Rhinolophus ferrumequinum: one gene and its partners. The protein of the gene in region 1 purifies or fractionates together with the protein of each later gene. This does not show direct contact. Links are inferred from orthologs where the notes say so. Each region holds a gene or a part of one and is shown in the gene's direction. Other genes may lie near its edges. The genes, in order: CDC26, NEK2, ANAPC13 and ANAPC7.

Region 1 (7,093 bases):
AACTAGCCAAAACATTGCTATCCCTCGGTCTGTGGAGACAGCCAACCTTCACTCAATGCCACATGTGCTGGATACTGACTCAGGTGCTTAACATACAACAATGACTAAGAAAACAGTTTTTGATTTCAAGTAGCAGAGTTCTAGAGAGCAGGGTTGGGGGGTGGGGAATGGGGACAGAAAGTAACAGAGAACCATAATACATTATACTAAGTATTATGACAGTGGTTAAGTATAGGGTACTAAGGGGGAACATAAAAGGAGTACCTAGCCTAGGTTTGGAGGGAGGTTCAGGGAAGGCTTCATAGAGGTGTTACCTAACCTGAGTAATCATCTGGTCGGGGCAACAGGCCAAGAATGGGAGAGGACTGTTAAGGCAGAGGGTTCAAAATACGATGTAAAGGTCTGGAGGTAAGAAAAGTGTGTTGAGCTTGGAATCACAAATAGTTCAGTGTGGCTGAAGTATGGAGTACAAGAGAAGTGGTACTTTTATTCCCTGTAATTTAAACAGGCCAAGCATTGTTGGTTCTATTTAATGGACATGAGAGAATGCTAAAGGTTTTGAAGCGATTAAACACGCAGACTATGCAAACCAAGAAAACAAAAATGATAATGGGGAGAGTAGGACAGTGGCTAGAAAGACAGGAAGAGGGCCTCATCACTGCATATGACTAGCCTGTCACCAAGAGCTTTGCAACGTTAAAAGCACAAGCGGAGCATTATCTGAGGACAATGCCCCTTTTCAGTAATATCCAAAAACCACTTGTCATTATGTTTTATGTCATTGACAAGGAATGCATTTGTTGTCTAAATCTTCAAAGTTCAACTACAAAATTACACTTTGGGAAGGGGAGAGGAAACATGTTAACACCCTCTTTGCAGTTTATAAAGGAAAATTAGTAGTGGAGTAAAAATTGGCCTAAGACTCAGATTGATATAAACACAACTTAAAAGATATTCTGTTAACAATAGCTGAGACATTCTATTAAAAGTTTTTGCTACAAATAACAACATAAATTTGGAACTAGAACCCTGTGATCAAAAAAAAGAAGAGAGTAGATGTTTAGAAAGGGTACCTTTCTCTTCTTTCAGCAGGACCCTCTCCAAAAAGTGTGATGGGCTCTCCCAAGGCTCTAAGGCAAGCCTTGACCTCTGAGTCGTCCGTGGAAACATTGATTTGCCGGGCTCGCTTCCTTCTCTCAAACTCAGCTAACACTTCCGCCTGTCGCTCACTGATGTGCTCTTCAATTTCAAACACTTCTCCTATAAAGAGAACAGGCAACATCAGCATAATCACCAGATCTTCTTCAAATAAAAAAATTAAAAAAAAGAAATAATTTCTTACAATTGGAGTCTGCGTATGCCCTTAGTGAAAGTTAACTGTCTAATCTATTATACACTTAGTTTCTCAGTTTATTAACTTACGCCACACACAAAAAACTAAATGACACAGCTTTAAAAGGCAGCAAAATGGTTCAAGCCATCTTGTTTCATCTGGCAATCTTAAACCTATATATACCTATATAAACAAACACACAGCTTAGATGAGATAAGAAAATAAGGAGTATGGGGCATCATTAGCAAATGAGTTAACTAGGCTTTCTATGCAAAAGATGAAACAGAAACATAATTTTAACAATTGACAAAGCTATTCTCTAAAACAGTTCCCTTATGGGGACACTTAGAAATGAATCTAGTAAGCTGCAAATAATTACCATGTAAATGATATTCCTTGATTGACTAGAAGACTTTTTGGATTCTCTAGCAGCCAGTTAAAAAACTCACACGAAATACAAGCATTTGTATGAAAAATGGTAAGTATAGTGGTGATGCAGTTATGCTTAAAAAAGCATAAAAGGTTAAAAAAAGCCATTAAAGTGCTTGTGTATAGAAAAAAAAAAGTGTCGAAGGATCAATGAGAAATTTGACAGAAGCCCTTTCTGCGGAGAAGTCTTTTCATTTTATACCCTTCTGTACTGTTCGAATTTCTTATTACAAACATGTATAATTTTATTTTAAAAATATAGTGGATGATAGTTACTGACTTGGAAAGATATCATTAATAGTACAGAATGAAAAATGTAGGTTACAAAACAATCTGTCTATCATGGCTTCCTTTATGGAAAACAATTATGTATTTTTATAGCTTTATTAAATTCTTGGAAAGATACAGACCCAAGTAATAAGGATGAAAGGTTTTACTACTTCACACATTTCTACACTGATTAGTTTTCAAAATAAAAATAACTAATATTTTTTTAATTTAAAAAATATGTTTCATTTTGGGAGAAAAATAATTGGGAAACTAAAAACAGAATATTATGAACCACAGTAGTTCCAAACCAGTGCCAGAGCTGTGCTAGATCTCCAGAAGATAAATGGAATCAATTTGAGTCCAAATATAGTTGACTACTGAACGTAGCCAGGTGGGGTTGGATAGTGGGGGGAACCCCTCGTGCAGTTGAAAATCCGCATAGAACTTTTGACTTCCCACAAATCTTAACTACTAATAGCCTACTGTTGACTGGAAGCCTTACCGATAACATAAACAGTCGATTAACACATATTTTGTATGTTATATGTACTTGTACTGTATTCTCGTAATAGTCTAGAGAAGGAAAATGTTATTAAGAAAATCACAAGAGAAAATACATTTACAGTATTTATTGAAAAAAAAAAACACTGCATATAAGTGGACCTGGCACAGTTCAAACCTGTGTTGTTCAAGGGTCAGCTATACACACTGAATAAACTCTTGGCAAAATCACTAACAATTCATGGAAGGAAAAACTCTTTAAAAGGTGTTAAGCAAAAGGCTCTCTGGACGATGCTAAGCAGAGTAGGCAAAGTATGGCCATATACAGATGTAAGTTTAAAAACTGAAAATTTTGACACGTTATTAATAGTGATATTTGTCCAGGAAGATATTCATTGCAGAAAATCTGAGCACCAAAGATAAAGATGGATTCACAATTTGCATCTTACCAGAGGTTATGTTGATATTTCCTGCTTCAATTCCTGCTTTAAGTCCTTCTTTTCCCAAAATCCCAGACTCTCCTTTGGCCAGACGTTCCCTCTCCTTCTCTTCCAAACTTCCATAATAGATGTGCGGTTTTTTCACCAGAGGCGCGACTAGGTCATCAGGTGCCTTAGTTTTGGCTGCCTGCTAAATCATAAACCTGGATTAACCTAAGGCTCAATCTTGGCAATTTGCTAGGTTTCCCCAAAGGATGAAGCTCATCTTGACTTTAATTCTATTTCCTCCCCAAAGGAAAGGACAAGGAGGGCACCAGTTAAGATGTGTCTTCACTGATGGGGATTGGTGTAGGGGTGTTCGGTGTCTCAGACAGAAAGAGGTTGATAAAATTCCTGAATTTCTCTTGGTGATTTTTCTGTCAAAGGTTTGCTTTGGAATTTAATTCAATTCAATCGGTTGGAAGTGCAATTTCTTGTTGGGTTTTATGAAACTTCCAGGGTTACTGCTCATCACAAGGGAACTATCAAGGATAACTGAAAAAACCAACGCGGTGTGAAGGGGAGCAGGTTACCAAGTTACTGGCCTCTACATTTCAAACGTTTTCAGACGAGATGCACTAGACACCGGTAGGTAGTTTGGAGGCCTCACTTCAGTTAAGAGGTCTGACACAGACATAAATCTTGGCCAGGACACTACTTCCTTGAGCTCCGTTTCTGGACCAGTAGGAAGAGGTGTGTACCATTCGCGTCAGTACGAGACGTGCAATTGAGCTTAAGCACATGAAAGCGCTCCATCAGGAAAACGCTGCTCGGCTCTCTAAGACCGAGTCTCGCAGCCTTCCTCCTCGGCCCCTCATCGCCTTATCCATCCCATTCCGCAGGGACCCCCACCCGCGCCGCGCTCCCCGCTAGGGTGAGCTCAGATCTGTACCGTGGAGGTAGCTCGTGAGGAAGACATGCTGGGCTCCGGAGCCGCGAAGTCCCAGCGAAAGCTGCAATCGACGTTTCAGACAATCCAACGCGCGCCCAGCAAAGCGGAACTGTGTCACCCACCGGAAGTGGGCCGAGTGGACTCAACGTCCGGGGAGGCGTGGAGCATGTTGGGAATCGTAGTAGGAAAGACTGTGGCCGTGTCGAGAGGTGTGACTCGTATAGCCTCCGAGAAACGCACGCGAAGGTCGAGGTCTTGCGGGGAGAGAGGCTCAGAGCAGTCTGGGAAGTGTAGTCCAGTTGGCATAGATTCGTGGTGGGCACTGAGGTTCCGCGAAGGGGCTGAACAGGCTTGTAAAGAGGTAGGTGCATCGAGTCGCGCGGCTCCGGGCTGAACTCGGGAGCGAATGGAGGGCTTCCGGGGCCTGCTGTCCCTCCCTCCCGGCCCTACGAGAGGCTTTACGTCGTCCTGGAGCTGGGACTATGTTGCTATGGAAACCTTTGCGGTAGACCTGTGAGCGCTACCTTGGAGCTGCGGCGGGAGAGCTGTTTTCCTTCTCCGCTGTAGGGAGGTTCTCTCCCGGGGGCCCCCTCTGAGCTGGGTGAATTTGGGCAGCAGCTAGAGATTAAGCTCGAAGAGCCCTCTAGCGCCAAAGTTAAATAAGGACCGGGCGGAGGAGCCACGGCCTGATTTTGTTGTCTTCAGCCTGGTCTTCGTATCAGATTTAGAGTAAGATGATGGATGTGAGCCGTTATGCACGCAAACAACTTTGCCACGGCCCTGTGGTCCGCTGGGTGCTGGAGCATCAGAAACGAACGAGACGAGGTTTTTGCCCTCATGTCGGGGGGTGGAGATGCTCAAAATACTGGTGATTCCCAGAGCTGGACAGAGGTGTTTCCTGCCTCTCCACAAGAACAGTTAAAATAATAATAATGGCTGTTATTTATTGAGCATTTACTGAATGCCAAATTACATTCCAGGAACTTACTTCAATAACAGATACGGAAACTAAGATCTTGTGAAAGATGAAGCTAATTGTTTAAAATAAACAGATTATTATTAGAACCTCTGCCCTTTGCCTCCAGAGCAAGTACCTTTACCCTATATCGCTACCTTGTGACAAGCTTTTCAGTTTGCTGAAAAGATAAGACAGTGCAAAGTAGTGTTTTTCTTTTAAACATCTCCGCCTCCCCTGAACTTTGGCTTCCAGTATCATTTATCTACATTGGAATCAAAATAGTATCTGATTTAGTATAAAGCGATTTGAAATGTAATGTGCTAGTGTTTTGGGTTGATAATACCACCTGTAGGTATCCCAAGCTTCATGGGAGGGAGAGGGAAACATTTTCTTTTTATATTTCAGCCCCTAGCTACATCCTAGATACATGTAATAATAATTGATATCTATAAATAAAGGAGCTTTCACTTACATCATTTTCATTTATTAACCAAACCGAGCAGCTTTGGCTTCACCTGTAAAACGGGTAATTTTGCCAGCCTCACAGGGTTTCTGTGTTAAAATAAAAGTGTAAAGAATGGGAATGGAAAAGCATACCACAGTGCTCAAGGAAAGTTCACTTCACTTTATTTGGATCTCTGGTTTATTCAACAAAACGTTTACTGCCTAGTTATTATAGATACACTCTACTGGATTTGGTGGAGAATATAAAGATGTCATCAACAGATTTTAAACTCAGTGCGGGAGTTATATTTTTTTCCTCCAAAAAACGTTTTTTGTTAGCGTAAGCATGACCTTGCGTTTTCAGACTGGTGTGGACTCTTGAGCCCCTTTTTATCTTTGTTCTCTCTGCCTGGTATGCCCTTAATCCCCTTTCCCTACCTGCCCTTCCCAAGCCGACCAAGACATCATCTCCTCCAGGAAATCCTCCATGTCTGCCCCCACACTCAGCCCAGAATGAATTGGGCCTGTGTGATGCCATTGCATTTCCTGCACCAGAGTTCTTAGTACACTGTATGCAGGTTTCTGTTTACGTGTTTGTTTTCCCCACAGACTGTGACTGTGCGTTTTAACTCTGCAGCTGGAGCACAAGAAGTGTTTGTTTAATGAATGCCCCATACATGTAGGACCTATTTTGACCCTGAAGATAACCCTGTGAATTGGTGAGTTAGAGGGAGTTTTCCCTAGATTTAGTAAACTGATTTTAGCATTCAGGAGTGATCACAAATCTCTTACAATTCTCGTGTAGAGTTGATCAAATTTAATGGTTTGTATGCTCTCCCACTAATAGTACTACATTAAGATGTGATATTTTAGTGTTATTCTCTTAGCTAGAATATGTCTTTGAATGTGACTGGAGCATGAGATTAAAGTGATTGTTGCCTAGAATTCTTTTATAGGCAGCTTGCTATTTAAATACTTAAAATTCTTGAAGAAACAGTTTTTTGGAATTACAGAGTTTTGGATCTCCATCATGTAATAAAAATATAATATTCAGACACGTAAAGACTTAGAAGTCTATGTGTGAATCTAAATGAGTCTTTTATTTGCCATTCATTTTAGCATGCGTGCTTACAAATTGATCTGATATTTGTAGCTGAGATTTATCCCCTTCAGGTTTTCCTCCTCTCTGCCATTTTTAACAGCTAATAGTTCACTGGGTCTGGCTCTTAGTGTTGATTTCAGCATGCTGCGACGAAAACCAACCCGCCTGGAGCTGAAGCTTGATGATATTGAGGAGTTTGAAAACATTCGAAAGGACCTAGAGGTAGGAGTACAACTTTCAAATACTTAGGAATATTTAAAACAATAACTCTTTTGAACTCCAGATTCTTATACCAACAGATTACTTGAAATCTCTATTTAGATTCTTTACAGGCATTTCCAATTTAATGTATTAGTTTCCTGTGGCTGCTGTAACAAATTACCACAAACTTGGTGGTTTAAGACAACAGAAACTTATTCTTTCAGTTCTGTAGGCCAGAAATCTGAAATCAGTATCACTGGACCAAAATCAAGGTGTCAGCAGGACCACGCCCCCTCCAGAGGCTCTAGAGGAGAATCTGTTCCTTGACTCTTCCAGCTTCTGTTGGCCCCCGGATCTCAAACCTCTGCCTCCATGATCACACTGCCTTCTTCTCTTGTGTCTGTGAAATCTCTCTCTGCCCTCTTATCAGGACACATCTGAGGGCATTTAGGGTCCACTCAGATAATTCAGGATCTCAAGATCC
Region 2 (6,871 bases), on another chromosome or scaffold:
TCTCATTTCTACCCGTACCTTATTTGCTCCATCTGCAACATCTGGCACTGTGGCCACTGCCATGTGCTTAAAACCATCTCCTCTATAGACTCTGGGTTATCAATAATTTCCATATTGCCTCCTACCTCATCGGTCACTTTCCATGCTGTTTGCTGACCTTTCTTCCCCCTCCTGCCCAGTATAACCTCCAGGACCCCCTCCCAACTCCTTTCTCACTCTGCCCCTCTTGGGGCATATTTATTCCCACACTCTTATTTTCTAGGGCCCAGAGAGGTCGAGTGGATTCCCTAGGTCACCTAGCTCATCAGAACAGAGCTAGACGAACCTGGGTTCCTACTCCTCACACCCACCGCTCCTACAACTTCACTGTGCTGCTCCTAAAGGGGAAATTGGGACTGTTCTCTGAAAGCTCCTTTAGTCCCTTAGAAACATACTACAGACTTACCGCCCATAATTACTGTTAACAGTCTTCTTAACCCATTTATAATATCAATAGTCTTAGAGATAACAAATGTCCTGAATTCATAAATATTATGCAAAATGTCCTGAATTCACAAATATTATGAAAAACCATGCAAAATGTGTGAACGGTTCTCTTTGTCTGAAAGCGTATCCTTGCATTGAGCAGAAGTCAGCCTTCCCCTAACTTGTACCCTTGGGTGCTAGTTTGGCACTATCCCTCTTTAAAATATGATGAAGCTCAAAATTAAACACTATTTGGTTTCACAGATAAATTTCTTCTCATCATATTCTCCCATCAGCTGCCTGCCACTAAATCCAAAGCTGTCTCTTAGTTTGCAGATGTCTTGTCCTTCTATTGATATGAAATGCTGTGTCGCTATTATGGCCAGTCTCCATAACATCTCATACTCTCCTCTAGAACATGGTTATTTATTGAGCATGTACTCTGTCATGCACCTTTTTAAAACATCTTTTAGCATCTGATTGCTATAAACAAAGAATCTCTCCTTTTTTTCCTTTCTAGAAATCTTTATCAAGCTCTTTAAAGAATTTCCATAATCCCTGACTTCAAATTGCTCCAAGACACAAAAAATGTCTTCTCTGGGATTTGAAATGCTCAATATGAAAATCTCAAAGTTTCTTATGAGGCCAGGCCTCTGTGGGTGAACTGGTGAGGCAGTCCCAACCTCTTGTTTGTTATGAAGTTATTTACAGCCCTCTAGTGGGACTTTAATATAACATAAGAAGGGACGCTGAGGGCAGTGAATAAGGCATGGCTTCATTTATTCATTCGTGCATTCATTTGTTCATTCATTCAAGGTACAAATGCTAATTGAGTGCCTACTACATTCCAGGCATGTTTTAGGTGCTAGATATGCTGCAGCGAACAAAACAAACAACAAAATCATATACATTAGTTACTTAAGAGGAACTTATATTTGTTGAAGGTTGAGTTTTTTATTTAATCAGTCAGATATACAAGAGAAGTTGGTAATGTAGATTAGTGTATGGCACATTCTAAATGAGTAAGGAACAGATAATTGCTCTCGTAGGAGCTCACGGTGGGTTGAAGGCAGTCAGAAAAAATTTCAGGGAAGAAGCTGGGCATGAGCTGTCTTTAAAGAATGGGCGGAATATGAAGGATGGAGGGAGTAAATGACCCAGGAAGGGGTGTTTCCTGTAAAAGTGTTCCCTATTGACTCCTCGTGTTCCTCGGCCACCAGTGTCTCTTTCCACTCCACGGTGCCCAGTGGTTTCTGCTGTGCTGTCCTGCCCCTCACTCCCACCCAATGATATGTGCTATCTCTGGCCAGTCATTAGTGTTTGTCATGCCATGCCTATGTCACTCTTTTCTTTATCATGGTCATCATGGCCCCACTGTCTCTTTTTTAATGAACACCCAGCATATCAATTATATGCTGGGTGTTTATTAAACTGGGCGATAGTAAGTGCTCAGTAAATATTTGTTGAATGAACATATGAGCCTAGGAGCCACTCTCCATATTCCTGGGATGACCCTTTCCCCAATATTTAGTCTCTGCCATAGCACTGAGGACGTTTGAAACATGAGTACTAGAGGGCTTCATCCAAATCCTTGAATGATTAATAAGCTGCTTTCTCACATTTTCATTTAACAAAGATTTATTGCATGACACCTTTATTACAGGGCTTATGCTAGCTATGAGGAGCTTGGAGTTGAGCTACTGTGAGACCCATGGAAATATATAATGAAAAATAACAAGTTGAGGGTTGATTTTTGTACTATCTATAGTGAACACTATAGATGGAGGAATTGCTTGTTCTAGTGTGCTAGAAGAGGCTTCCCAGAGCACAAGAGAGAAAGTTGGCATTGAATCTTGAAAGACAAGTTACGTCCTCTAGGCATACACGATCATGATACAGGATGGGGGAGTGGATAAGGGAGTCAGGTGGACTAAGTATTCCAGACAAATGGAATATCAGGTGCAAAGGTAGTGGTGGTGGTGGTGTGGGCTGAGAAAGTGTGTCAAGTTTGGAGAATCGGGGCAAAGCATAAGAGCAAAAGAGTGGCCAGAGAGAAGGTGAAGGATTTGGGGCAGGCCAGCCAAAGAGTTCCATGGATGTCAATTTTTAAGAGGTACTAAAATAAAAAATATAATGCCAATTAACACAGCCACCGTAGCTCCTTACATAACTTTTGAAACCTAAATTGGTCCCATTCCCTTGGGATAAGACAGTGCCCTTGAATGTCACGTTAAAAATTCTCCTGGCTGGAATTCCAATTATGTTATATTCAGTGCATTATGTTATATTCAGTTCTTATTTTTAACATAAAGAGGTTTGCAATTCTTATTAATAGAAAATCAAGTTCCTTTCAATCCCATGCTGAACAGATATTTAAAGAAAATTGACCTATTTATGCATGACCAAATTATTAACTTTCCGGTAATGCACATGAAATGGATGGAGGCCTCTCTATCTGTTCTCCCAGGTAAAAATAGGACTGTTCCACCTGGCTGGGTCAGATGAAAATGTTGGTTTCTGTGGGTGCCCAGAAAAGGCTACATTCAATGAAGTATTGTCAATTAATTATGTATTCAGCACCCCAGGTAATCTATTTGGTAGTCTGTTTTTTTGTTTTTGTTTTTTAGGAGTCTTAAGGGTAAACCTGTCTGCCTTAGAGCCATCATATTCTGCTGGAGATTCCCAACATCGAGGACTTCCATATTCTTTCCCGAGGGTTTGTACACATCCACTGCATGTTGAACAAGCCTCTAAATTCGGTGTTCAAACTATAGTCTGTGTATGATGACCGCGCCCTTCACAAAGTCATGCGTAACTTTTAAATCGTTACTATACCAGTATGCAAGGTTTTTGCATTGATTCTTCTCTTCCTGGCTGTTGGACCTAAAGCAAATAATTTAACCTTTCTGTGCTCCTCATTATACTAATTCCTGCTTTACAAGTTTGTGTTGAGGAATAAACGAGACTATACATGTAAATAAATGGGTTGGCACAGTCCCACGTCATAGTTAGCACTTCAGCAAGGGACTGTAGGTTTAATCACCGTACTCAGCTCTCACTAAGTCTTCAGCGTGACCCCGATCAGGCTCAGGGTACAGGAACCTGAAAGAAGAAGGCGCGTGCAGAGTACAGGAACTGGAGGGGTCAGAGTGCAAAAGTCAGAAAGCATTTGGTTGAGGCAGTATGCAAAGAAGTCTGAGAAGTCTCTGGATTTCGGTTATTTTGGCGACTTCAGCCAGAGCGACAGCGTTGCAGAAACTGCCTTGCTGCCGCTTTCTCTTTCCCGCCCTCCCTTTGACCGACCTCCGCCCCTTTCCTCCTAGGAGTAGAAAGCGGACGCCGACACAGACGCCGAGGCGGTTGCCTAGGGATACGCCTTCCCAAGATGCTTAGGGTGTTGTGTTCTTCTTAGCCAATCAGAGAGGCGAAGCCTCCTCACTGTGGGCCAATAGACTGCGAGTCCAGGGCCCGCGACGGTTAAACGGGGCTTGGGACTGAGGCCGTCGGCAGTGTATCTTGGGGGTGCTTTCGAGTCGGTGGCCGTAGCTCCGCGGCTGCGGCGCGATCTGTTGGAGTCCTGCGGTGGGCCCGGCCATGCCGACCCGGGTGGAAGACTACGAGGTGCTGCACACCATTGGCACAGGCTCCTACGGTCGCTGCCAGAAGATCCGGAGGAAGAGTGACAGCAAGGTGAGCGCGGGCCCTTCCCTGTCTCCGCCCCTGCTGGGGTTTCGCCAGCCTGTGGTGAGCGCCCTCTGTCCCCGAAGCGAGAGGCCTGGGATTGTGGGTCTCCAAGGCTGGGTGCCCGGAAGAGTAAGCCATCTCCCCCAAACCTGTGTCTGTCCTGGGTTGCTCAAGGGATGGGAGACCGCGTCTTTCCTTCTTTTCCCCTTTCTCTTCCATTTCCTTCCTTTTTCCTGCTAAAGGCTTTTTTTTCATTGGTGACAGGTAGCGGTCTCCTGAGCTATTTTTTAGAGAAGAGTAGAACTCTGGGACAGGAGAAAGGGGTACCAGAACCTGGAGCTTTCTGTCTTGACAATCAGAGCTCTTTTAAAACATCCGTTATTAGCGTATTGGGTCCATATTTCCCATGTGTGTACATTGACCTTACATAGGAAAAAAACGATGGAGAGGAAACTGCCTGGCTGCTGACCGAGGGATCTTTACTCAGCTTTCTCACCCTGGAAAAGCTTGGCTGGTTGGAACTGGCCGGGATTTGGACTGCCTCTGACTCACCTTTGACCAGAGTACCTTTTTCTGAACTCCCTCAAAGCAAGTGAGGGTAGGAAGTTGGGGGAGGCCTAATGCGCCTCACCTCCGCCCTCTCCCATTGCATTATTTACTGCTTAAAAGTTAGAGAAAGATTATGGAAATAAAATCGGGTGTCCTTAAGTTTATCAAACTAAAGTAGATGTTAATAACCATGATCTATTTACCAGAGAAATAATGTTTGCAAATTTTAAATTTTGGAACTTTCATTCTTTGTTTTTGAGTATAAGGAGTTCACTCTTCCCTTGGGAAATTCTTATTTCAGATATTGGTTTGGAAAGAACTTGACTATGGCTCCATGACAGAAGCTGAGAAACAAATGCTTGTTTCTGAAGTGAATTTGCTTCGTGAACTGAAACATCCAAACATTGTCCGTTACTATGATCGTATTATTGACCGAACCAACACAACACTGTACATCGTAATGGAATATTGTGAAGGAGGGGACCTGGCTAGTGTAATTACAAAGGGAACCAAGGAAAGGTAAGTTAATCTTTGAAAGTAAGCTGAAAATGGGCCTGGTTTCATTTCTGTTAAGCATCCTGTTTTAGGATTAGGGAGGAAGTACTTAGTAACGTGGAAAAGTGTCCTTATATTTATCCTGTTTCCCCCAAAATAAGACCTCGTTAGACAATCAGCTCTAATGCGTCTTTTGGAGCAAAAATTAATATAAGACCCGGTATTATATTATATTAGACCTGGTCTTACATAAGACCCGGTATTTATTATATTATGTTATATTATATTATACCTGGTCTTATAGTAAAATAAGATTGGGTCTTATATTAATTTTTGCTCCAAAAGATGCATTAGAGCTGATTGTCTGGCTAGGTCTTATTTTTGGGAAAACATGGTAGTGGGTCCGCAGTACTTTAGGAAATCTCTGGTGCATCAACACCCGTATTTCATACCAGAGTGTGATATTTATTTCCCTATTTGTACACTTCGAAAACTAGATAATTCTCGTGATCCCATCTTTGTAATGGCTTTATTCAGAAGTTAAACACTGTATATCTTCTTTGGTTTCAGACAATACTTGGAGGAAGAGTTTGTTCTTCGAGTGATGACTCAGTTGACTCTGGCCCTAAAGGAATGTCATAGACGAAGCGATGGTGGTCATACAGTGCTACATCGGGATCTGAAACCAGCCAACGTTTTCCTGGATGGCAAGCAAAATGTTAAGCTTGGAGACTTTGGGCTAGCTAGAATATTAAACCATGATACGAGTTTTGCAAAGACATTTGTGGGCACACCTTACTACATGTCTCCTGTAAGTATTTCAGAATTTAGATACTTTTTACACCTCTTAATGATAAGCATTAAAATGCAGGAAAAGTGAGGTGGTTTTTTTTATTATTATTATTCGTGTGTTTAGTAATATCCAATAGCCAAGAATTAATAATACTGTTTCATTTTAAATTTACATTTTTCCAAATTGACCACCTGACCATTAAACGCCTCTGTATCGGCAATTCAAGTCATGATTTATTGAATGACTACCATGTGCTAAGTTCTGGGATTACAAAGATGAAGTAGATTTTGTCTCTGTCCTGAAGAGTCGTGTTTCTCAAAATGCCATAGGTCCTGTACCCCGGCTTGGAGCTTGGACTCATTTGGAGCATTTGTTCAAAATGCAGGGTCCTTGACCTCAATCCCCAAGCCCGTGAATTTGGACTCTGTATTTTAACAGACTTTCTAGATGATTCTTGTTCATGGAGATTGGACTCATTTGGAGCATTTGTTCAAAATGCAGGGTCCTTGACCTCAATCCCCAAGCCCGTGAATTTGGACTCTGTATTTTAACAGACTTTCTAGATGATTCTTGTTCATGGAGATTCAGGGATCAAGAGGCTCACTAACTTCAGATAACATGTTTTTACAGTGTTAACTTTTTGTATTTGTTCTTTTTTTTGTTGCCTTTTCCTGCAAGGGAGTTGAAGAGTCCACCTGCTTTTGTATTTCCTCTATTGCTGGATATTTTGTTTCCAAAATTCATCACCGTATGAATTATTCTTCCTTTTTTTTTTTGTTTTTGTTATTTCCTTTGTGTGTAGCTCTCAAAATGAAATCGTTGGGTCAAAGGGTATTAACCGTTTGTGGCTCTCTAGGTAGTGCCTGTTGGCTTTGGACTCTGCAT
Region 3 (6,923 bases), on another chromosome or scaffold:
TTGGATACAAATATAAAATCAAAGGTTGAAAATGGCGACTGGACTTGTTGCTGAGCTGCACCTTCCACAACTAGATTAAAGGACGACTTGGAGCAGATGGGCCCTGGAGAAATACACTGTTCCCCAATAATCCCAAAAAAAATTTAAAAAAAAAATCCAAATGAAAAAAAGAAAAGCAGTAAATAAATAAAGTGAAAATAAAATGAAATAAATCAAGTATCAACTAGACGTTAAGCCATATTTAGGCCAGGAGCAGAAACCTCATATTAAAAGCCATCTTGTCATGATTCTGTCTTGCTTTATCTCCTAGGCGCCTGGGCAGGCCTGGGCTGTCCCGATGCAACCTGGGGCCAGGGTGTGAGCTGGAGGACTTCGTCATGCCCTGAAACCCTTTGTCAACAAAAACCCCCTGAAGCATTGAAGGGGGAACAGCCTCGCTCACCCCCTCCTATAAAACTCCATACCCCTCTTTGCTCGGGGAGGTTATGGTCTTTTCTAGACGGACCTCCCTCAGCTCAAACACGCCAAATCAATTCTAATAGGACCAATCTTGGTCTCCTGCACTCATTCCTCCGGCTGTGCCTAACACTAGACATCAAGTTGGCAGCCTAACCATAGAGCAAATTGTTTCATAGGCCTTTAAAATGCAATAATTTTACTGTATATATCCTAAAGGGGGTACATACTAAGGATAAAAAAGAACAAAGAAATCCTAAACACTATTCAGGAATCATATTGTTATTAATAAAACTGATATTGTTAATTTCAAAGTTATATATAACATAGGATAAGAAAAAAGTAATTATGTTAATGACATTAGGAATCAATGTTTTCAGCAAGAGAAAAAGATATAAATATAAAATCATATATGCAAAAAAAACCCTATAAAATCAAAATTAAATTGGAAATAGTGTAAATTCTGTACATTTCTCTCTTAGAAAATGTATTTCCTAACTCTGATCACTGTAAATCCTACAACTAATGCCCAACCTAGCAGTAAGAGCACAGTTCTCAGGCTGTGGTCTCTAAATACCATCTCCAACTCAAAGGAACCAGGGTTGTTGGCCAGAAATGTATAAATGAGGCAGGAACATGTTTAATCAGCAAATGAAGACATTATCAAAGACTACTTGTCATATCAAAGTGGACAGGAGTCAACTTAAAGGGGCTGCTGCCACTGGCCAAAGACAGGACAATTCGAGAATCAAAAAAAAAAAAAAAAAACTGCAATAGGTGGAAACAGTTTCAATATTTTCAAGCTTATAAGTTCATGATGATTTTTTTAAAAAGGCAAAAACCGTTTTGGTTTTTAAAAAAGGCAAAAACCTCACGGTTACCTTTGGAGGTTGTTAGGCCACCAACTCATTACCGCAGTCTGAAAATAGAGGGAAAGAATTAAGCATTTTTCTTGCCCTCCAGTATTTCAAATAGCTGATGACAGTCAAGTAGCTGGTGGGAGGAAGCTCTTCCTGAAAGATTTCCAGCTAATAAATACTAAAGGAATGACGAAATTAGAAAATCACCATATTGCAACCCCTAAAGGAACAATAGATATAGGCAATCTAAATCCATGAAAAGATTTCACCATTAAGTGCAATGCTCAAGGGGAAATTCATGATGGATGGATCAGTACACTGCTCAATCTTCATATCACAAAAAGAGGAACAATTCATACATTGTGTGCCTCTCTGATAATCAATGCAACAGGAAGTGTACTGCACCATCTGGGAAATATTCTTGCCCACCTCCACCAAAAAAAAAAAAATCAACATTGAATCTGATCAAGCTTCTAGATCAGTGCTGTTCAACAGAATTTTCTGCAGTTATGGAAATGTTTTATATCTACACCGAACGGTAGCTACGAGGTACCTGTGACTATTTGGCATTTGAAACACGGCCAATGCGACTAAAGAACTGAATTTTTTGTTTTCTTTCATTTTAATTCATTTCAATAGCCACAGCTGGCTGGTGGCTGCTATAATGGATAGTGCAATTCTAGATCTAACTACTGGTTTAAAGGAAATAGATACACATGGGGAAGAATACCATAGGGATAAAATCAGCTAAATGTAGAATGCTGAGGGGGGAAAGGCAGGCAAGGGAACTACTATATCTCAAAAGATTTAAAAGGTGCATTAACCAAATGCAATACATGAATCTGAACAGGATTTTTATCCAAGAAGCTAATTGTAAAAAGACATTAAGGGACAGCGGGGAAGTCTGAACCCAGGCTGAATACTGACATTATGGAATATTTATTAATTTTCATAGGTGGATGGCAGTACTGTGGTTTTGTAGAGGTGAAAAAAAACAAACTTACCTCGTAGAGAAAAAACAACCCTAACTAAACATAAAAATCAAAAATTCAGTTTCTGAAACCTATGTAAATGTTGGCTTCAACTTTCAAACCAAGCTGACATTTTTTTAAAAAATAGGAAGCTCTGATAGTGGACTGCTGATGCAGTCAACATGTGCCACCTCTACTACATAAATGAGAACAGGAAGGACCAAGCAAAGGTCTTCTACCTTTTAATGGGAGGTAAATGGTGTATCGATACAATTAACATACATAATTATTACAAATAATTTTTAAAAGCTAACTCTACATACATTTTAAAGGACAGTGTAACTCTCTGAATGTTTATAAATCTCTTAACACATTTAACTTTCAGTCGTACTATATTGATCATTGATAATGATATCGTGAAAGGACAAGCAGCTCAGGACAAAAGTCAATTTAAAGATGATACCGCATTCCAAGTAAGAAAATAATACACTTCATTTTATCATTAAGTTACAACTATGATGACTCTAAATGGAAACACCTGAAAGTAATGTGTTGTTGATCCTTGTATGATTTCCTCCTATCTATAAAATAAAAAGCAAGCATGTGGAGAACTGTGTAACTACAGGATACCTACCCCACAATACTGCTTTATTAAAAGAATAATTTTTTTAAGACTTAAGGTTTAAGGAATCAAATGTAAGGCTCAAGAAAGACTACTCTGTGCAAATAAACGTACTGTAACTATAAATGAAGACTAGTCACTGACAGCACACTCATCTTCACTCTCCGACGTTGTAAGGGGACATAAGAAAAACCATATTATGAGCCTATCTATACTGTCTTCAAATATCTTCATGGTTAGTGTTCGTAAGGAACTGTCACTTTTTAAACCATGGCTCTACCACTTGTTTCCGATCCCTGATTTCTATGGAGCAATCTGTAAGGCAGAGGTGCCCCAACTTCAATCCTTCACGATTTCTGCCACATTTCCATTTCTCCTGTGTCAACGTTGTTTTTAAGCCAACTCACTGTTTAAACTGCTAAACTTCCCACCATAAATGAACGGGCATCACCCGCCGTGGATGGCTTAAGTCACAACAAAGCTACGGTAGCAAGTTAACCAGAAACGACAGGCTGAGCGGGAGGGCTGAGCCGGAGGTCCCTCCCCCGAAGAGAAAACTGGCCACCCGCCGCCCTCCCGCTGGCCCGGCCGCAGGGAAGGGCTGACCACCTGGCTGGCCCGACGGCACGCCCGGGAAGGCCATATCCGCCTTCGCGGGCCCGCAGGGTGTGGGCGACGAGGCCGAAGGGCGGGGCGCCGGAGCTGGCCTGGGCCGGCGGGGGCGGGCCTGGCGGCTGGCGGGCTGCTGCGGAAGCCAGCCCCGAGCCTTTGGGCCGCGCGGCGGACAGCACCACAGCCGCCGCGGCCAAGCCTGCCCCAGGAATAGTACAGGCCCGCCCCTCGCCCGTCCTCCGTGCGCACATGAGGTTAGGGCGCTCCCGCGCGCGCGCGCCCCCGAGCTTTCCCGCCGTTACCTCCGGCGGGGGCGCGCGCGCGTCACCGTCAACCTGACGTCCAGCATCTGTCGTCGACACGTTCGTTCCGCCCCCTGCTCCCTCCCTTTTAATGGCAACAAACGTCCTGCCTCACCTCCCCTCCGCCCAAGCAAATGGGCTCACCCACATCCGGGGATCGGAGCAAAAAGAAGTGCGGGTCACGTGGTGCCGAGGGTGGGCTCCGGTGGCCGCGGGTGCTGCGCTGGGTCGGGTGCTGGTAAGGGTTTCCCGCGCCCCTAGCCTAGGTTCTGCAGGGCGAGAACGCGTTCGTTCCTCAGCGTCGCACTGCCTGCGACCGAGGCCGATGTCTTCATTTCAGCCCCATCACTGCCCTTACCGCTCACTGGATCGAGTGGAAAGAAACTTGGGTGGCGGGCCTGGACCTAGACCTCCCCCGCTTCCACACTTGGTATATCCAGCCTCGAGCCGGAAGTCGGGGCTGTGAGGCGGGCTCACACTCCTGTACGGATGGTGGTGGCCTGCGAGGGTCATTTTTAGCCAAAGGGGGGGGGAAGCCGTCTGCGTTGATCATGTAGTTGTGTATTTACAAAATTCTGAAGCACAGAGGAATAAAACGTGCCCCTGCCCCAAGGAACGCACGCGCCGCCTGTCTGGAAAGCAAGAAACAGCCAGTGTGACAAGCTCCCAGTCGGGATCATTCGCTATTCCCAGGGAACTAGGGGACCTGAATAGCCTCCTATAGGAGGAGGTGACCCGGGAACCAAGTTTTTCAGACCGACAGGGATTATCTGGGACATAAAGGGGAAAGAGCATTCCAGGCATTGGGGCCATCACACGTGTAAGAAAAGTTTGTTCACGAAACTGATAGTGGTGAATGCTGTCGAGTGTAGCAAATGCTTGTGACAGTGGCCGTGTCCTGGACTTTGCCTCTCTTGATGCTTTCCACTCTTCCAGCCCCTTACGAGTGAAGACACCACTCGGGAAATGGGGAGTTGACCCTGATGATGTGACGCCCACGTTGAGTTTGGAAGGAAAAGTACACGGGGGAAAGAGGCTTTTTTTTAAGTGCAAAGGGTGGCAAGTATGATAGGGCTAGAGATGTTTGGAAGAGGAACAGGTGAAAACAGATTGAGGCCAAATTGGGGGAAAATGGATTAAGGAGTCATTGATGGAAAATGGACACCTAACAATTGGAGACATAGCTGAGCAGTCTGTCACAAGGCTGACCCAACTAGTGGGTCATAAGGACAAGAAGGAAGCATTCGAGGGCAGAATGCCTGCTGAAGCTGGAGTGATTTGAGAAAACTACAGAAAAGGTGGAACTTGTGTGGGCCTGGGGAAATCAGCAGGTTTTGATCAGAGGAAAGGAAGGAGGGCATCCCAGAGGTCAGAGCATCCAGGACAAAGGAGTGGCGGCAGAGAAAAAGGAGGGCTTGTGTATGACAGGGTCTCCAAAAATATAACTGGAACTGAAAGGACCCCTGGTGTGTACATTTCCTGAAGACAGGATTCTTCAGCTTGTTGTGAGTTATCCACTTAGTAGTACTGGATTAATTCTCGTAATACTAAGAATTAGTAGTGAAACGTTAAGACGTCATCTGGTTCACTGGTGGCATAGAAGCTGGGCATGTTTCAGTTTTGCCTGGATTCTTATCATGGGGGGAAAAGCCTATCATTATTACCCAAGTAGTAGAGCTATCTTGAAGTCATTTTGTTGGGGAAAAGCACAGGCCTATACGAAAGAGTTGGGTTTCACCCCCAAAGACTATTTTCTGGTATAAGTCTTCACAGTCTCAGAAGTGGGCGTGACTCAAGTGCCTTTGGTGCCACTGAATTCCAGACCATTAGGATGGCTGCTTTGTAGCAGGGAGCACAGGAGAGTGATATCTGTGATGAAGAAGCAGAGTCCACACTTGGAAACAGAGTCTAGAGGTATTTTCCAAGCTGGCTATTGGTGTTCAAGAAAAAAAGTGGGGAGTCGGCCGAGAGCTAAGTAAGCATCTTGACCACTTGGGCCAGGCATGAAAGGGGGCACAGCGTTAAGAATCAGAGGAAGGAATCCCAAAGGGAAGAAGAAACCAGCAGCATGGGGTCTTCCCACTGTGGTTCACCTGGAGGTGCTCCTTTCAGGGCTCAGCCTGGGCACCATCTCAAGAAAGGCCATTTCCTTCACAAGTTCAGCTGAGGATTTCTGCAGGTCTGTGGCTGTTCACTTTGTATAACCCAGTTCAGTGGGGATCTCACTATGATCCTGTGCTTCATTTAGCTCCCGTGCCAAAGAATGCCAAGGTTAGAGCTAAGGCGGGTGGAGACTTTTGTGAAAATGGTGCAGGAAAGGGTAGAGGGGCCAGAAAGGAGACTTGATTATGAATGAGTCAAGGATTCATCAAAGGCATCCTGAACAGGACAAGGTGAATGTGCAAGTTAGGAGAGAAAAGCTGCATTCTAGACGTGTTGTGGCCTCGTAAAGGAGGCCCTCAAATATATTCTCTTTTTGTCATACTATGACTGGTTTGTCCACTGGGCTATGTCTGATGTCTGTCCATCGTCAGCTGGGGTAGGAGGGGAGGAACTGTGATCTTATAAATAAGTCGTCATCTGACCCAGATGAGAAGATGGATCTTCCCCAGGGTGATATTATGCCAAAAGACACATCCAAGCTAAAAAGCCTGGGGAATCCTAGGGCTGATTACATCATCTCCTCAGTCTTGTTTAAGAAATTACCTTTTTGGCTTACAGATTTGACAAGATTAAAGCTTCAGGAGAATGGACAGTGAGGTACAGAGAGACGGAAGGATCCTGGATTTGATTGACGATGCTTGGCGAGAAGATAAGCTGCCTTACGAGGATGTTGCGATACCACTGGTAGGCTATAATTTGTGCTGAGGATAATGGGTAAAAGATACGATCTGGTGGGGCCTAGTAGAGATAGGATGTCAACGGACAGATAAACTAGTAGGGCAAAGAAATCAAAGCTGTAAAGTCCACTAATTCTAGAAGCATCTAGACTTTTTATTTGAAGATAAATATAGTTCAAAGAGCTGTTGTGACCAGCTCCGATAGGAGTCATGCCAAGTCTGGAACCCAGGCCTTCTGAGCCATTTTCTGTTGACTACAC
Region 4 (7,300 bases), on another chromosome or scaffold:
GAAAAAAAACTTCTGTCCACCTGATACCACCCATTTCCTCCTTCCCTGCAAAACAGGGCTTTTCAACCTTGACATCTTGATGTTTTGGACTTGATATTTAAATTTACAATTTTAAATTTCTACTTCACTTTATTGTGCAGGTCTGCCCTGTGCATTACAGGATGTTTATCAACATCCCTTGTTTCTACTCCTAGATGCCAGTAGCAAAGCAAGCCCCACCCCCAGTCTCCAGACATTGCCAAATGTCTCCTGGGGGCAAAATCACCCCCAATTGAGAACCACTGCTCTGCAGCAAAACTCCTCAAAAGAATGATCTATCTGTACTGTTGCACACTAGTCTCCCCCATCCTCTCTTCACTGCCCCACCAAAAATGCTCTTGTCAAGGTCACCAATGACTGTCATGGTGCTAATCCAATGGCCATTTCTCATTTTGTTTGACCTGTTGCCATATATATATATAGATACACACACACATATGTGTGTATATATGTATATATACACACATATATACACACATATATACACATGTGTGTGTGTGTGTATATATATATATATATATATATATATATGTAATTGATTATTCCTACCTTCTTGGAACCATATTCTTCATTTGTCTTCCAGAACCCCACTGTCTTACTTTTCTTCCCACCTCACTGGCTGTTCCTTCTCAGCCTCTTTTGCTGGTTTCTCCTCTCTGACCTCTTAATAGTGAGATGCCTTAGGGCTAACTGTGTCCTCACCTAGAGAGCCAATTATTACATCCCAAGGTATTTTGTCTGACAGTTGTTTTGTTACAGTTGGCAGCTTGCAGTTGTCCATGGTAAGAGTATTTACACCATGAAAATTGGCAAACACTACAAATCATGGCTTCCCCCTCACCAGCTGTTACACATTTACCTGTTTATCAACTGCCCCAGTCTTCAAACTCTCTTAACTACACTCACCCTCTTGGTGATCTTATCCAGTCTCATGGGTTTAAACACCATCTCACTCTTCAAGAATTAAATTACAAGGGTAAAAAGGAAAGGGAGGAAGAACCTACATTTTTAAGAGACATAATCAGCCAATTGCAAGAATGGACCTTGTTTGGATCCAGATTCAAAGAAACCAACAGTAAAATATACACAAACAATTACTAGACATGACTAGATATTTGATGATATAAAGAATTATTGTTGTTAGATGTGATCATGGTACTGTCATTTTGTTTAACAAGGAGTCTCTCTTTTAGAGAATACTGAAATATTCATGAATAAAATTATATAATGGTTGGAATTTGCTTCAAAATAATTTGAAGGGTAAGGAGGAAGGTGGGGGGTGCTCTGTGAAACAGGATTGGTCATGAATAGATAATTGTTGAAGTTGGGTGATGGTTTATGGGGACTCAATATACCAATACCTCTATTTTTTAATATATTTGAAATTGTTCTTATAAAGTTTTTTTTAATGGCATCTGAATGCTGAAAACTCCCAAATTCATACCTTCCTTCTAGACGTCTCTGAATTCCAGACTCAAATACCCAGCTAGTCTTCCCAGCATCTTCCTTAGATTCAGATAAGTATCCAAATCTTGGAGCATTATACTCCAAGATGCTTCTCCCCCAGTCTTCCCCACTTCAGGAATGCAAAGAAGCATCCCACCTACTCTTGTGAGATGGGTTTACACAGAGATGAGAAAATTTAACAATCACAGATTTAAATACGGTGGATAGATGTACAAGGCATGAGGTCATTAGTTATCAAATGAATTGTCCAAACTGTAATTCCCATTCAGAGAATCGAGGGATTAGAGGAGAGAGCAATCACTTTTTAGAAAGTATGGCAATTTCAACTAAAAATGTCTCGAGTCTATGAATGTTGGTTTATTCCAGGACTGGAGGATATGTGACTTTGCAGTAGGATGTCAATCCAGATATGAACCTAACTATATTTTACACTGCCGTGTAGAGAGGGTAAATTGGTGACTGTCATGTGGTTTATAGGTGTGTTTATTTTTAATTGTTTCATTGAGGTATAATTTACATAAAATAAAAATCACCCATTTTAAGTGTATTATTCAATTATTTCTTAGTAAATTTAGAGAGTTGTGCAGCAATCATCACAATCCAGTTTTAGAAAATTTCCATCAAATCCCAAAAGGAGGGATCTTTTGGGAACCGCAATCACTTCCCAATTCCTACCTTCACCACCAAGCAACCACAAATCTTTCTGTTGCTGTCGGTCTGTCTTTTCTGGATATTTAATATAAATGGAGTCAGAGATTATATGATTCTTTTTCTGTCTGGTTTCTTTGACCTAGCATGATTTTATTTTTAGCACAGCACAATATTTTTGAAATTCATCCATGTTATCAGCAGTTCTTTTTATTTTTGTGCCGAATAGGTTACACTGTACAGATATACCACATTTGGTTTATATAGTTATCAGTTGGTCAACATTTGAATTGTTTCCAATTTTTGGCTATTATTAAATGTGATTTTAACTATAAAATATTTCAAATGGAGAGAAACGTATAACAAGCATTTATAGTGTTCACTGTGTGCCAGACATTGTTCTAAGTGTGTTAGATACAGTGGTGTATCTGGCATGTTTGACACACAGAACAGGTCAGTTTTTACACACACACCCCTCTTTTTTCTTCACTTTTTTTTTTAGCAGTTCTAGATTCAGAGCAAAACTGAGTGGAAAGTAGAGAGTTCCCAAATACCCAATTGCCCCTGCTGTGTCACAAATGCACAGCCTCCCTCACTGTCAACATCCACCACCAGTGTGGTACATTTGTTACAGCTGATGAACTTACACTGAAATATCATTACCAGCCAAAGTCCATAGTTTATGTTAGGTTTCCATGTTGTATATTCTATGAGTTTTGACAAACATAATGACATGTATCCACCATTATAGTATATAGTTTCACTTTCATAAAAATCCCCTGTGCTCCACTGATTCCTCCCTCCCCTCTAACCTCTGGCAACCACTGATCTTTTTACTGTCTCCAGTTTCATCTTTTCCAGAATGTCATACAGTTGGAATCATGCAGTATGTAGCCTTTTCAGACTGGCTTCGTTCACTTAGTAACGTGCATTTAAGTGTCTTCTGTCTTTTCATGGAACACCAAGACTGTGTTTCAACAATTGACAAATCTGTTTATAGTGCTAATTGAACATGAATATACAAAGACAATGACTTTTGACAGTCACTGACAATTTTGCAGAATTTAAGGACCAAAAACAGAAACTGTATTTTATTCATTTTCTTGCTAATCCAATAGGTAGGATAAGTCTTTCTCAATACATTAATGTATTTAAAAAGTATTAATCCATTACCTTTTTGTACTGTAATAGTGGTTTTACTTTGCATTAAAAATTGTACTAGCATTATTATTTAGATGAAGTTTAATAAATATTTTCACGGTCTGTTTCTTTTCTGGCCATTATTAGTCATTTCATTTCATGATCATTACTGAAAGCATTTTTTTTTTTTTCTAAATGAGGGGGTGGCCCAGAGAATGAGAAGGCAACCTACAGGCTGGGAGAAAATATTTGCAAAACACATATCTGATAAAGGACTATTATTAAACATACAAAGAACCCATAAAACTCAACAATAAGAATACAAACAACCTGACTGAAAAATCAGAAAAAGATCTGAACAGATTCCTCACCAAAGAAGATATACAGAAGGCAAATAAGCATGAGAAGATACTCGACACCATGTCACTGGGGAATTACAAATTAAAAAACACATGTTAGGATGGCTAAAACTCAACCTAGCCAGTATTCATTCTGAGCTAGTAAATCATTTCACAGGGTAGAAATATTCCCTTTTAGACCCAAGACTGCTATCCAAAGGCTGAACGAATCCTGACTCCAGCAGGTACAATACCTGACAAGAGGGGGCGTGGCGCCTTCAGCCTAGTGCGCAAGCGTGACTGTAAAAGCAGTTAGGACTGCCCCTGGCGCCTGATTAAAATATTCAAATACAACTATTGGGGCTTTCCCCCTACATACAACCTACTGTGTTCTTTTATTTATGATTAATGTTCATACATTTTTATTAATTCCTGGGAGAGACAAATTCCTCTCATACTCATTTCCTTTGAGCATGTATTCATACTGAGGTGCCTTTTGTCTCCATCGTATTTTTAAGTCCTCAATAAAATTTGCAACTCAGAACGACATAGCTTTGCTAGAAAAAAAAAAAACCCAACAAATTAGTTCACCTCACGAGGGCTTGGGGAACTGAGTTTTATTTATTTACTCAGGCACTTCAGTAGTTGCCTATTTTTCTGGGGGCGATGCCTCATATGGACCCGATGGACCCCGGCGAGGCCGCCATTTTGAAGTCTTCCTTAAAGATATTTTACCGGCTTTTCGTGCCGCTACTGCCGCTCCCTGCGGCTTTGCCCGGCAGGATGAATGTGATAGACCACGTACGAGACATGGCGGCCGCGGGGCTGCACTCCAACGTGCGGCTCCTCAGCAGCTTGTTACTTACAATGAGTAATAACAACCCGTGAGTTGAGGCGGGGAGCGGCCTGGGGCTGAGGAGAAAGCAGCGCCTGTTCGGGAGCGAGGGCTGAGGGGGCCTGGGGACTGGCGGGAAGGAGCGGCCGCGGGCCCCAGCCCAGCTGAGGCTCCGGGGTCAGCGAGGCCTCGTCGAGCCGAGCTGAGTTAGGAACGCAAGTTGAGTTCATGGGGTCCCCGCGTTGTGCCAGGCGCTGGGATGAACTCGCTGCGGGAGATGTGTCGTGCGGCGACGGCTCGGAGAAATGGAAGGCGGAGGCTCTGAGGACCTCCCTGGCGAGGGTTTCCCGAAAGTTGGGAGCGTAGGGTTTCCTGAGGTACCTGTCACCCAGCACGGCGACTGTCACATCACTGGGCTGACTTCTCCCTTCCCAGCTCCTTCCTGAGGAACGTTTTCTCCCTCGACGAAGCTCAGAGGCCAGTCCCCTGGTTTTATACCTTCGTCCTACATCCGAGACTGATTTTTATCCGCCTTGAGTGTAGTTCCTTTTCTCGCCTCAGCAAACCCCAGAAAACGGGAGATTCCCTTGATTGGGTGGGAGTGGCGCCTTTTGAAGGACTTGCAGTGCGCCTTTCATGTTTTAAGAGCTGCCGTTTATTGAGTCTAATGACGGAAGAAATACAGGGCCCTTGCCAGCCTTGAGTGCATGTCGCTCCCCTGCTTCAATTTCTCCATTGTGCTTCAGGTTCTTTCCCATGGCCAAGGGAGCCACACATCTTTCTCCCCCACTTAATCTCATGTCCGCTGCTCACTGTTCTCCAGCCTCCGTGGCTCTTCTTGCGGATACTTGAACACGTGCCAAGCTCATTCTCAACTCAGGGCTTTTGCATTTGCTGTTCTGCTTAGAGTCCTTATCACAGACCTGCCTCCTCCTACAGGTTCCAACTCCGATAGCCCGTAAGAATGGCTCCTTACCCTCACTAGTCTATCCCTTTGCCTTGTTTTATATGCTGCATCACTTTTTTTTAATCGAAATATCATTGACATGTAACATTACGTTCGTTTCAGGTGTACAACAGAATGGTTCCATATTTGTATATATTGCCAAATGACCACCACAGTAAGTCTAGTTAACATCCCTCACTACACATAGTTACAAGTTTTTGTCTTGTGATGAGAGCTTTTAAGATCTATATTCTGCACCACTCTTAACACCGAATGAAGTCAGCACACTGGCTGTGTGCAGTAAGCCCTCACGCTTATTGAATGTGCTAAGGAAGTGCATACAACCTCAGGGAGGGGAAATACCCTGTCCAAGTCCACACATTTAGTCATTGGAGGAGCCACGATGTCTGGATTTTGGTCCCTTTGACTCTAAGGTCTCCATTCTGACCTACGACAGTCTCTTGCCTCTAAATAGCATTATAATCGAATCTTCTACCCATTTGCATTTGGCATCCTCTTGAAGCTGTCTAGGTCAGAAAAGAAAGGCCCCTTAAGTGCCTGTGATGCCGCTGCTGCTCCCGATTTTATTTCCATTAGTGTGCTTTTGGACCTCACTACGTGCGACTCATCATTTTGCCACCATCCACTTAGTGTTGACAGGGAGGAGCCCTGGTCTCTGTCAGCCTTCTGTGTTTATTCTGGAGACTTTCGCTTGGTTCTGAGTGATTTGTCAAGGCACACAGTTTCCACCATTGGGAATGTATGCACCAGTTATTCTTGGTTCTTGAAGATGTTACAGGATAGTTAGATGTTACAGGATAGTTAGATGTCACAGGATAGTTTGATCTTCTGATTTGTTCATATTAGGTTAACTGGCAGTTTCCTAGCTTCAGGAGGCATTTAAATTCTGACCTTTATATTTAAAATTTTCTTACTGAATTGGCAATACAACACAGTAAAAAAATTCAAACAGAGCAGAAGGGGTATGCAGATACGTACCTGTCCCTGAATCTTGAACCTCACTGTGACATTTCCCTTCTCCAGAAATTCCCTTCTCCAGCAAAGAGCTATTAACAGTTTCTTACATCATTCCAGAGATAATTTTTGCTGTACACATAGACGTGTGTTACAATATAAATATCTGAGTGCTTTCTCTGAGTATAGTAACTTTTTCTATCAAATCTTATTTTTCATTAAATACAAAGAATCTCAGAATTGGAAGAGATCTTAACTATCTGGACTATACCTTTCAACTTTTCAGTCCTTGAATTTCCTTTGTAACTTTATGCAGTGTTTAGAGTTCCTATCTTTTTTTAAGATTTTTTTTTTATTAAGATAAAATTCACATACTGTGGAATTCACCCTTTTAAAGAATACATTTCTGTGGTTTTAAATGTATTCACAAGAGTTGTGCACCTATCACCATTGTCTATTACAAAATGTTTTCATTACTCGAAGAAAGTAACACCTTATATATTTGTAGTCACTTCCTGATCCCACTTCCCCTGTTCCTGGCAACCTCTAATCTACGCTACCATTCTTGAGTATCCTTCATTTGTTGAGAAATTAACTGTCTGTTCTTTCATATTAAGCAGCTGTAGCTTTTACCTATCAAAGAAAAACATGTAAACTCAACTTGGGAAGAAGTAGGTGGAGGGTTGGGATTGGAGATTAGAAATGTGAGTTTCCTATTAAAAATGGTAGCCAGCTTCTAGGCAGTTATTAACACTTGTGAGCAACATTTAAGGTTAAAGACAAACTTTTGAAACACTGGTTCCATTATACTATCCTGAAGCCCCTGAGACTCAAAGAGATAAAAATTCTCCTAGTGCCGGTAAAGTTTACTTTTGTATATAAAATTTAAAAAACTTTTGTCAAATAAGGCTA

Evidence for each region.
Region 2: the proteins of CDC26 (region 1) and NEK2 purify together in Homo sapiens (affinity purification with mass spectrometry; 3 studies listed by BioGRID and IntAct, with this or other methods). This does not show direct contact. The link is inferred for Rhinolophus ferrumequinum from reciprocal best matches to the Homo sapiens genes CDC26 and NEK2.
Region 3: the proteins of CDC26 (region 1) and ANAPC13 purify together in Homo sapiens (affinity purification with mass spectrometry; 4 studies listed by BioGRID and IntAct, counting the BioPlex papers as one, with this or other methods). This does not show direct contact. The link is inferred for Rhinolophus ferrumequinum from reciprocal best matches to the Homo sapiens genes CDC26 and ANAPC13.
Region 4: the proteins of CDC26 (region 1) and ANAPC7 purify together in Homo sapiens (affinity purification with mass spectrometry; 5 studies listed by BioGRID and IntAct, with this or other methods). This does not show direct contact. The link is inferred for Rhinolophus ferrumequinum from reciprocal best matches to the Homo sapiens genes CDC26 and ANAPC7.

What each region holds. Positions count from the first base shown.
Region 1 is NC_046295.1:65,171,781-65,178,873, reverse strand, and holds the start of CDC26 (anaphase-promoting complex subunit CDC26), read left to right. Parts: upstream 1-4,084; 5' UTR 4,085-4,265; intron 4,266-5,915; exon of another isoform or gene 5,916-5,943; 5' UTR 5,944-5,972; coding exon 5,973-6,025; intron 6,026-6,479; coding exon 6,480-6,630; intron 6,631-7,093. Other genes in the region: PRPF4 (U4/U6 small nuclear ribonucleoprotein Prp4), read right to left, coding at 1,074-1,260, 2,983-3,163, 3,905-3,931. UniProt on the Homo sapiens protein: Component of the anaphase promoting complex/cyclosome (APC/C), a cell cycle-regulated E3 ubiquitin ligase that controls progression through mitosis and the G1 phase of the cell cycle.
Region 2 is NC_046305.1:20,398,137-20,405,007, forward strand, and holds the start of NEK2 (serine/threonine-protein kinase Nek2), read left to right. Parts: upstream 1-3,868; 5' UTR 3,869-4,059; coding exon 4,060-4,155; intron 4,156-4,999; coding exon 5,000-5,217; intron 5,218-5,763; coding exon 5,764-6,004; intron 6,005-6,871. UniProt on the Homo sapiens protein: Protein kinase which is involved in the control of centrosome separation and bipolar spindle formation in mitotic cells and chromatin condensation in meiotic cells.
Region 3 is NC_046300.1:34,593,083-34,600,005, reverse strand, and holds the start of ANAPC13 (anaphase-promoting complex subunit 13), read left to right. Parts: upstream 1-3,923; 5' UTR 3,924-3,938; coding exon of another isoform or gene 3,939-3,973; 5' UTR 3,974-4,061; exon of another isoform or gene 4,062-4,102; intron 4,103-4,131; exon of another isoform or gene 4,132-4,253; intron 4,254-4,266; exon of another isoform or gene 4,267-4,675; intron 4,676-4,707; exon of another isoform or gene 4,708-5,737; intron 5,738-5,902; exon of another isoform or gene 5,903-6,002; intron 6,003-6,544; 5' UTR 6,545-6,571; coding exon 6,572-6,670; intron 6,671-6,923. Other genes in the region: CEP63 (centrosomal protein of 63 kDa), read right to left, coding at 3,824-3,870. UniProt on the Homo sapiens protein: Component of the anaphase promoting complex/cyclosome (APC/C), a cell cycle-regulated E3 ubiquitin ligase that controls progression through mitosis and the G1 phase of the cell cycle.
Region 4 is NC_046308.1:6,116,812-6,124,111, reverse strand, and holds the start of ANAPC7 (anaphase-promoting complex subunit 7), read left to right. Parts: upstream 1-4,297; 5' UTR 4,298-4,298; coding exon 4,299-4,516; intron 4,517-7,300. UniProt on the Homo sapiens protein: Component of the anaphase promoting complex/cyclosome (APC/C), a cell cycle-regulated E3 ubiquitin ligase that controls progression through mitosis and the G1 phase of the cell cycle.